Linked DNA regions of Drosophila melanogaster. The protein of the gene in region 1 interacts with the protein of each later gene in a pairwise test. Each region holds a gene or a part of one and is shown in the gene's direction. Other genes may lie near its edges.

Region 1 (5,126 bases):
AAATGTTATGGTTGGTGGGGAATTTCTTGAAATAAAAACTTTATTATTTTTGATATAATATTTAAACATATTTTGATGTATTGGCTTAAGTTAATAAGTTCGCATATAATTTGTGTAAGCCAGTCATTTATTTGAATTGCGATCAAGTGTGCAACCTTGGCGCACTGCCCCCCACTCGAGAACATGCTCTACGGCTGTTTAAACTTTGGAGATGGTTAATAAATTTATTTTGTTTATTTTCGGCCGGGTCACGCTTTCCCCAAATGACCCTCGTCATAAAACGCGCGAGAATCTCTGGGTAAATATAAATATAAGAATTGCACGCTTTGGTTTTTGTGCATGAAAAGTTTACTTCGCATTTCGGTTTCGGCCAATTGTTTTTCTTGGCCCTATCACCTTTCACTGCGAAATATGTCTAAACGAGAATGTTTTGTGAATCCATTAAGACGCAATAGAGAATTTTCCTATAGCTCGTAGAGCGTTCGGTGATGTCTCCGCAGCACTGGATTGGAAATGTATATATCTTTCTACTTGGCCACCTGATAGGCGAAACAGCTTTTCCCCTTCGAAAATCTCAAATTGTTCAATTCCGCTTCCAAGAATGCGGAACGGCCAGCAGGCGGTCAGGCAAAAGTTTTTAGGAGCCGAAACAGCTGTTCATTTGGCTGGTGACTGACTTGCTCTGCAATTAAAGCGATTTTTTTCGCGGAAGAAGGCCCTATTCGAATAGTTTGGATACACTCGAATTCTTGGGAGTAAATATTGAAGAACTTCTTCAAAATTCTCCTGCTCAGTTCTAAAACCAAAACAATGGGATTTACTTAGGTTCCGTTTCATATGTGTGTGAGTGTAAGCTTGTACTTGAGAACAAGTGCGTTTATTTTTAGCCGAGTATTGAATTAATTTTCGTACGGACTTGTAAAGGAGCTTACATTATTTTCGTAGAGCAACCTGGCAACCTGTTGAAGGGGCTTGCAACTCGAACCGCGTTCGCTGCCAGCATCGAGCACGTTGCACGTGGCAAGCAGCAATTGTGTGTTTACTCAATATTCTCGGCGTGCCGCAGATTGTGCCTTCCAGAAAGCAAAATAAACAAATAAAAGTTCCATGAAAAGGTATCATTTGTCAAGCGACAGCCGACAAATGAATACACATATGCATGTATGTATGTATGTATGTATGTCCTATGTACCCAACGACTTAGCGGCTTAAGTAGCTGCTCTAAATAATAAATTCAATTGTAATCAGAATCGTTTATGTAAATATTCAAATCGTCAATTTACCCGGACAGAGAGTGAGATAGAGAGAGTGTAAGAGTGTGACGTGGGGGGGGGGGGGGGTGGAATTGTCCTCCAATAATCCGCGAGGCAAGCAAAAGTCTGGGAGGGGGGGGGGTGGCAGGTGTAGATAAGCACCCCATTAAGACAACAATAAGCTCAACAAGTTGTTCTGGAAAACTGTCAATTAGAACCACCAACACGCACTGTGGCAGCAACAATTGTTCGAATGAAAACACAACATGCTGCATGTTGCACGCTCGAACATAGCCTTGCCATGGAATCGATGTTGCATCAGAGGTGTAGATGGGGGCTATTAGGAATTGCAGCGTAACTAAATAGTATTAGAACTTAAACGCAGAGCAGAGAACAAAGAAATGTGCACTCCGAAGCTGCGGAGTTCTCAAATAAAATGAAGCTAGCATTTTAGTAGAACTATTACTTGCTATTAAGTATGTACAATAATCTCAATAATAAGAACTAAATAATAATAATGAATTGGTTTGATGATGAAGCAAGCTCCTTGGGCAGTCATGAGCATACCAATGCAATTCTTTCGCTCTCGAAAGCGGCGCCTCTGTTTGAAGTCGCACTGCCTGTGAGTAGCGGCTGCAACGCAACATGTTCGATGGTTCGATGGTTCGAAGGTTCGATGCCTTCGGTTTTGGTTGGGCGGCGAGTGGGCTGCGCTAGCATCCGCTGGTCAGTCGCTCGCGGAGCGTCGTCGTGAACGGTCAGCCAGCGCGGCTAATAAGTAACCAACTGTAGTGACAGTGCGATAGTGACTCTGATCCGAACCCGAATCCCAGGCCCACAACAGATACGTCCAGCGTGTGGGCAGCCAGAACAGAGTGACAAGAATATCGGAGCCGACAACAACAGTAAACTGAAAGATAGAAAGAAAGAAAGAAAGGCCAACCTGCCGATTAAATTCCAATTGAGTGTTACGAGTTTTTTTTTCGAGTGAGTGCGGCGGTAAATATTTCGATCTTCTTCCCTTTTTTTTTTTTTTGCTGTGCCACCAACAGAAACCGAAAAATGCAAAAATTAAAAACCAATCAGTGAAAATCGCCAAAATTGCCAAAATATCAAATAGAAAAATATGGAAAATAGTTGAATCGAAGAAACGCAGACCGCAAAAATTTATAGAAAGAAAACAAACACACAACACACACACAAAGAAAAAACAAAAGGGGCAGACAGAAAGAAAGCGCTTTTATTATTTTATTTAACGATTTTTCTTCTTGCAATTTTTATTTTGCACACTTTGTTGTTGGGTCAGTCAGTTGGCGGCTTTCGCCACTTTACGAGCAACTTCCTTTTTTGGCCGGAGAAAAACCAGTCTGGCCAAGAGACCAAAAGACCCCTGGCCAAAAGACGTCGGTCGGTGGGCACCAAACACTGCGAATGTAAACAAAACAGCAGCAAACCGTATTTGTTTATGACTCGGCTTGGCCAGGATAAAGCCCAGAGACTTTGAGACCAACTAAATCCCACACCCCCAACCGCCAATCCCGCCCTCACCAAAAATATGATTTGCTAGCATTTCCCCCCATTCCCCGGCCGAGATTCTCAAGTGCGAGAGTTGCAAAAAAAAATGTGGTCCCCCCTCCCCCCTTTTATTGCCGCACCGCGTTGAAACGACACCCGGTGAAAGTTTCCCAGTCGCAACTTAGAACTCTCTTCATTTTCGGGTTTCTTTATTTTTTGCTTGATAAATGAGTCGCTGGCATAGCCCCCGGGGCGGTAAATCATCTCTGCTTGTGGCACTGACAATTTCACAAATTTATATATTTGCCACAACAACCGACCGAAACACTCACAGTCGAAAGTTTTCCACTTCGAGTGCAAATTTGACTGGCTTGGAAAAGTCCAGGCGAGCAAATTGGCCAGAGGTGTTGCCAACGAAAAAAAAAAAAAAAAATGAATTGGTAACGAAAACAATTGACGAAATCGGAAGTGACAGCATGATAGTTCAAGTTCAAACACGCATAATAACTTCATTGAAAACTGTAAACTTGAGAGTAAACAATAGTTTTCAAAGATTTCACGAAGTGTCTTCAGTTCAGCATATTAAATATACCCAAATACGGTTTCAAATTGACATAGATTAGTAATTTAACATAGGAACAGTTAAAAAAGTTAACCAGCTGGTGTGATAATATCTATGAAATTGTTGGTTTCTGGAACTTGAGAGATTCGCAAGTTCTAGCAAGCAGCGGTTGTTAATGCATATGAATACGAGACATCGAGCAATTTCGAAGATATTCCACGCCAGTTATCGCCCCCCCCGCCAGTAACTGGAGGCCAGCTCTAGCTCCCATTTTTAACTGGTTACCCCGCTCGAGAATTCACCATGTCGGCTCTCGGTTTTTTCCTTCGCTTTTCGCTTACTCCACACAACACAAATCGAATTGAATGGCAATCTGGAATATGCCAGGCAGATCCAATTGCATGCCACATATGCAGATGTAATGGGAGAGTTGGCCCACTCGCCACCCCCTTGTAAGCCCCCATCGAAACACCAACACACCCCCCCCCCCCCGGCCGCTTACAAAAATTAAGCCCCCTTAGCCGCCCCGCCAACTGTACCGCTGATCTGCTTGCCTCATTGCCGGTTAGAAAGCCAATGGAACGAGTTTCGTTGAGTGTGCAACTAATTTTCTAAATTGTTGTCGCTGCTGATCGTTGAGCGTGGCAAAAAAAAAGTAAATAAATAAAAAATACACACATTATTTATATGGCCAACGTCGCACAAAGAAATTATCTGTCACCAACATTGGTCATCAATTTTGATGGGTTTTCGGCGTCTAGAATAAGCCCTTTTATCACTGACGTTTTAATCAGATCTCTTCTTCAGAAGTATACAAAATCACGGTATGATCTTGCTTGAAGATGATTTCATTTTGCTAAAACGTGTTTTAATTCACTTTTAAATCATGAATCATAAATATAGGTATTTATGTGACTATTTTATATAGGGTAATACGATAATACAGAATCGTATATACGTACGTACTTTTGTAAAATAAAAAAAATTTAAAAACGGAATAATAAAATGTATATTTATGGAAATTTTTGAACGATGGCATATTTAAATAGATAAATAATTATGAGAGTGTGGGTGATAAGGCAAAGATTTTAGATTCAAAACCATCCATTCATCATTGCGAAGATCGAACTGTCATTTTTGCGATTGATTGATTGAATTTTAATAAAAGTCTTTGAAGTCGGACTTATTTATTATTTTTTTTTTTTATTGGGTTTTTCTTCTCTTGCGAGTGCGTCGTCATCATTTAATGGTGAAGATAGAAGAAGAATTATCCGAGCCCATAGAAGGCGAAGAAGAGGAAGAAGACAGGGCTAAAGAGACAGAGCGAGAAAGAGAGTAGGAGAAAGGGAGAGAGGGATAGAGAAATGTTAATGGATTAGGAAGCGAGCTCAAAAGGCAGCGTAGAAGAAGAATCGAATCTCGGCTACTTGCGACATTAGCCCTCTCCCTCCCACTCCCGCCCGATGAAGGCGGGCGCGAAAGAGAGGGGACGAGAGGGAGAGCGAGAGCGGAATTGAATGGCCAAAGGAAAGGTGAAAAGAGGCAACTTGGCTTAGACGATGATGATGACTGTTTCTTCTGTTTGTGTACGTATGTGTGTGTGTGTGTGCGGACAAACAGGTATCACGCACACACCTACAGACACACTCACACCTGTGCGGAATAACTAAGCAGCGACCCGATTTTCAACAGAGAGCCAGTGAGAGAGATAAGAAGAGAAGAAACAGAGCCAAGAATCCGATCCATGCCATGCGCCTAAAACTATTACAAATCTATAACAAATCTACCACGAATCT
Region 2 (5,064 bases), on another chromosome or scaffold:
TAAGTAAAGTCCTTATAATCCATTCTTAACCGTCCGCGAAATTATCGATATCCATACGTGTAACTATCGATAAATTAATGTTGATATTTAACAAGCAATAATAAATGTATTATGACCTTTTCTCAAAGTGATTTATTTGTTTTGGTCACTAATTAATAATTCAATAAGAATTTTACCAATATTTTTGAATAAAAAATTCATTAATTACAAATACTAATTTCTTTCTTAAGCGAATTTTAATTTTTAAACACCAAATACAAGAGTTCAAATATTTAAATTATTCCGCCAAGTGAGCATTTAAATCATTAAAGCATTAAAATGTATGCCATTAATTCGATAAATGTAACAATCGGTCTGTCGACCAAAGAGTAAACAAAATGTTAACGTAAGATCAACCAAATCCAAAGTTTGGGGTGAAAACATGACCAAGTCGGATTTCGTGCTGGGCGGAACGGCAGCGATGGGTGCGGTGGTGTTCACCAATCCCATCGATGTGGTCAAGACGCGGATGCAGCTGCAGGGAGAGTTGGCTGCCCGAGGAACCTATGTGAAGCCCTACAGGCATCTCCCCCAGGCCATGCTGCAGATAGTCCTCAACGACGGACTCCTTGCTTTGGAGAAGGGTCTCGCTCCGGCATTATGTTATCAATTTGTCCTCAACTCGGTCAGGCAAGTGCATTGTAAAGGACACTTGTTGCCATCCATAAACATCAAAATCTTTGAACTTTATACGAATATTAGAGGTAGATTTAAACAAAGTTTATATAAAAGTGGCCGTAAAATTATGCAATGCTAAGTAGTGTAATTACAAGCACCATGAATTAATGTGAAATGCATGCTTATCTTATCTAACACTGTGAAGTAATGGACATTTAAGATAAGTCGTTACGTTCATCATTGAAAATAGTTACCCTAAGCAAATTGCAGTGTAAATACCCTTTCCTTATGGTAGGCTAAGTGTATATTCGAACGCATTGGAGCTGGGATACTTGCAGAATGCGGATGGCTCCATATCCTTCTATCGGGGCATGTTCTTTGGAGCTCTGGGCGGCTGCACGGGCACCTATTTCGCCAGCCCCTTCTACATGGTGAGTAGATCCGCTAGAGCTTCCCATCTGATCTCCCTCCATTACAGATAAAGGCCCAACAGCATGCCCAGGCGGTTCAGTCCATTGCCGTAGGCTTTCAGCACAAGCATACTTCGATGATGGATGCCCTGCTGCATATTTACCGGACCAATGGCATTTCAGGATTCTGGCGCGCTGCTTTACCAAGCTTGAACCGAACGCTTGTGGCCTCCAGTGTACAGATCGGCACCTTTCCCAAAGCCAAGTCCCTTCTGAAGGATAAAGGCTGGATCACCCATCCGGTTCTCCTCTCCTTCTGTGCCGGCCTATCGTCGGGAACCCTTGTGGCAGTGGCCAATTCGCCCTTTGATGTGCTCACCACACGGATGTACAACCAGCCAGTGGATGAAAAGGGGCGTGGACTCATGTACAAGGGCTTGGTGGACTGTTTCACTAAAATCTGGAGAACCGAAGGGATCCATGGGATGTACAAGGGCTTTTGGCCCATATACTTTCGTAGTGCTCCACACACCACCTTGACATTTGTGTTTTTTGAAAAGTTGCTCCATTTGCGAGATCGTTATGTTTTCTCCCAGCGCAGAAACTGAAGAGTCCAGTCCTCATGGAGCCAACTAGATTACTGTAAATCCTCGCATACAATTGTTAAGTCCCACGATGTGACAATCCTAAAATTTATAATTTTATAAATAATAAAATTGTTCATCAAAAATGATCCCATGAGTTTACCATTGAATGCACGTCAACTGCTATAAGTTTTTTTTCTTATGTAATTTGCTGCATAACATATTTACCTTTCTAATAAAAGCTTAAAATAATTATTTGCTGTTTGCAAATATTTACTGTGAAAAAGAAAAAGCCGCCAGTATTGCAATTTTAGTATGACCTCTCCTTATCGATAGGCGGCGATAGATGCGAACAATAACGCATCATGTCTTCGATTGTCAATAGTCCATTTGGCACCGATAGGCGCAAGCACAAACTATCGACTGGCATCTGGAAAGTCGGCGGCGTCACATATTTTTGATTGACTATATATATTTAAAAACAATTTGCGCAAAATGGCCACTCAGGTGAAGCAGTTCTTAAACGGCTACAAGGATGACGTGAGCAAATCGCTGCGCGATGCTTCCAAGCCGTGGACCAAAGTCTTCGATACCGTGGAGGAGAAGACCGGCGTGGACCGGGTCAATATTTTCGTGGGTGAGTGTGGAATATCCTGGCGACGTCATCGCATGTCCTTCGCCGAAACGCCCATGTAACCTTCTGCTAGTTGACTGCGTAACCATTGAGATTAGCCTAGAGATGCAGTGGAATATTTCGGGATGCTTATAAATAGCAACCTGTTATATATAGCAATGTGTATGTGGCTGAATCAGGATGGTCGGGGGGGCTTAATAGCCGCCAGGTGACCAATTAACGAATTAAACAGACGACTTAAACGGCAAAGCCCAATTAAATAGTGTGTCTATATTATCACCGAGTGCCTGCAACCAATACACCTCAGTTTGTGAGCATGCGATGTGTGCGTGTAAGCGACTACGTAGACAGCTGGCGATGTGTGCGTCTGTTATCCACAAAAGTTTCATGTTTTGTGCTTTTCTTTGTTTACTTCAACGAAAGTACACTTTTTTTTGCCCAGTACGCGGTGAGCAATACATTTGGCGCATTCCATTGCCATATTCTCTAGACGAAGATCTGGAGAAAGTCCAGTTCGGCGGGGTCAAAAGGTCTGAATTATTGAGACGTGGCGCTGTCGGCACACGTGGAGCCAATCTACTCACTCACCTGTGTGCGTTGGTAGAGCTTTCAGTTCGTTCGTTCGGTGCTCACCGGAGTTACCGATGTGGCTCTGGGACTATATTATGCTAATCAGACAGCGACAGGAGACGCGGCGCAATGTCAGAGTTCCCTTGGTTTACCTCGGCATAGGTGAGAATGTGGTCATAATGGCAAAAGTAGCTATCTTTCAAAACCGAAGTCTATATACACTTGCAAAAATGACGGACGTTGATTCATCATACAAACATTTGGCCTCATTAGCTGTTCAACAGTTCGGCATACTTTAATAATCAAAACAAATTGTGTAAACAAATATATGCATATTAGGGAACAACCATTTATGGAGAATTCGCAATTCACATCAAATGATCTGATCGACTAAGGATATAGTTTCTGTGGCTTGTAATGAAACCCACCTTTTTGCAATGATGTTGCTCAAATTAAAGTACCCTCAGCCAGGGTATAAATATAATTAGCCGCCATCGAGCATGAATGACATCATAAATTTATGGCAAAACAACAGGCCGTAGTCCGCTCATCTGGGTGGGCAAAATGCAACTGGCCGGGATCAGAGGCAGGTCGAGACATCTACTGACAACAGCTAAGGGTTTATAATTAGCCAACGGCATGGGGCGGTTTAAAAACCCCAGGGATCCACGAAGGGGCGCCCTTGAAAGCTGTACGAGCACCTGGCACTGTGCCCTTGGAACAGTTAGTCTTGTAGCTAAAGTTTGTAAGTGTTAACTCCATCTGATCACCCTGCGCCCTGTGGAACCGCTCCTGCCCTTGGACCTGCTTATAGCCATAAGGGAAAATGCGCCACTAGGGCAATATCAATTGACCAACTAGATGGCGAACATGGCAGTCGAGGAATTAGAGAGCAAAATTGTCCAACTGTTCGTAGAGAACCCCCTCCTGCGCTACGGTAGAGCTCCAGCAGTGACTTAATGCTATTTACTAATAAGGTATTATATTTCATCATATGTAGGTGCTGTTGGTCTGTGCGCCATCTACCTGATCTTTGGCTGGGGCGCCCAACTACTGTGCAACATCATTGGGGTTCTGTACCCTGCATATATTTCCATCCATGCCATCGAGTCCAGCACAAAGCAGGACGACACCAAGTGGCTGATCTACTGGGTCACGTTTGGAATCTTCACCGTGATTGAATTCTTTTCGAGTCTGCTAACTTCGGTGATTCCCTTTTACTGGCTGCTGAAGGTGAGCTTTGCATTCTTCACATATAAGAATCTTCTTTTAAATGCTTCAACTCCACATGTAGTGTGCTTTCCTCATCTGGTGCATGCTGCCCACGGAACAGAATGGTTCTACCATCATCTACAACAAGCTGGTGCGACCCTACTTCCTGAAACATCACGAATGTGAGTAAATTCACCTCTTAGATATTGCAATTTTACTAAAAGGAGATCAATATTTGCACACAGCCGTTGACAGGATCATCGATGATGGCATGAAGAAAGCCGCTGGAGTGCTGAAGCATGACTAGAAGGCGAATGTACCGTAGCTCCGACCGCTTCTCGCTTATCCATGCATTTGGTTTTGGGCCTGGTCACCAACCTCACCTCGTATTGGTTACGTTTTGCAATAAATTTTAATTCTGTATTCATTTTGTTGTTGATAAGAGCACCAGTGTTCGCTGAACCAGAAGAAATCTCCGTTTGTTAAACGTAAAAACGAAAAGGAGGCTTTTATTGAGGCACAACTATATTTATGCGGTTGATTCCGCCTTTTCTGGCGACGCCTCCGCTTCAGCAGCTGTCCTCCGGTTCCGCCAGGCGGTCATGTAGGTGCGCGGGTGGATGGGCAGTAGTCCGGCAATTCCCAGGAGTTCTGCAGCCGGCGTGGACAAGTGTGCACCTTTGCCCAGCCAATAGCGAATTCTCTCCGTGTTCAGGGCCACCAGTCGTTCGTTGTAATCGTTGGGCAGGGGATCAAAGGAGCCCACCTGCTCGATGACAGGCTGGTGCTGGTTCTTGCGCCTCTAAACCGGAAAATACAATTACCAATTAAAAGTTTTAACCATTTTAATGGCCTAAAAGTACGCACCTCCATGACGACAATGTGATAAAAAGGCCGATTGGTGCATCCCAGGCGTACGAAACGTATGATTTTTGCCGACTTGGCGTAGAAACGACCAATGCCACTGGCTGGCGATAGAGACATCCCGATATTTTAT

Evidence for each region.
Region 2: the proteins of mgl (region 1) and ReepB interact in a two-hybrid assay, tested with the Drosophila melanogaster proteins (one large-scale study listed by BioGRID).

What each region holds. Positions count from the first base shown.
Region 1 is NC_004354.4:9,497,000-9,502,125, reverse strand, and holds the start of mgl (megalin), read left to right. Parts: upstream 1-1,996; 5' UTR 1,997-2,252; intron 2,253-5,126.
Region 2 is NT_033778.4:14,168,435-14,173,498, forward strand, and holds ReepB (receptor expression enhancing protein B), read left to right. Parts: upstream 1-2,027; 5' UTR 2,028-2,146; coding exon 2,147-2,288; exon of another isoform or gene 2,289-2,483; intron 2,484-2,725; exon of another isoform or gene 2,726-2,929; coding exon of another isoform or gene 2,930-3,017; intron 3,018-3,354; exon of another isoform or gene 3,355-3,725; coding exon of another isoform or gene 3,726-3,792; intron 3,793-3,855; coding exon 3,856-4,088; intron 4,089-4,149; coding exon 4,150-4,249; intron 4,250-4,312; coding exon 4,313-4,374; 3' UTR 4,375-4,564; downstream 4,565-5,064. Other genes in the region: CG18324 (uncharacterized protein), read left to right, coding at 422-669, 953-1,088, 1,136-1,675; mRpS16 (mitochondrial ribosomal protein S16), read right to left, coding at 4,597-4,869, 4,935-5,051.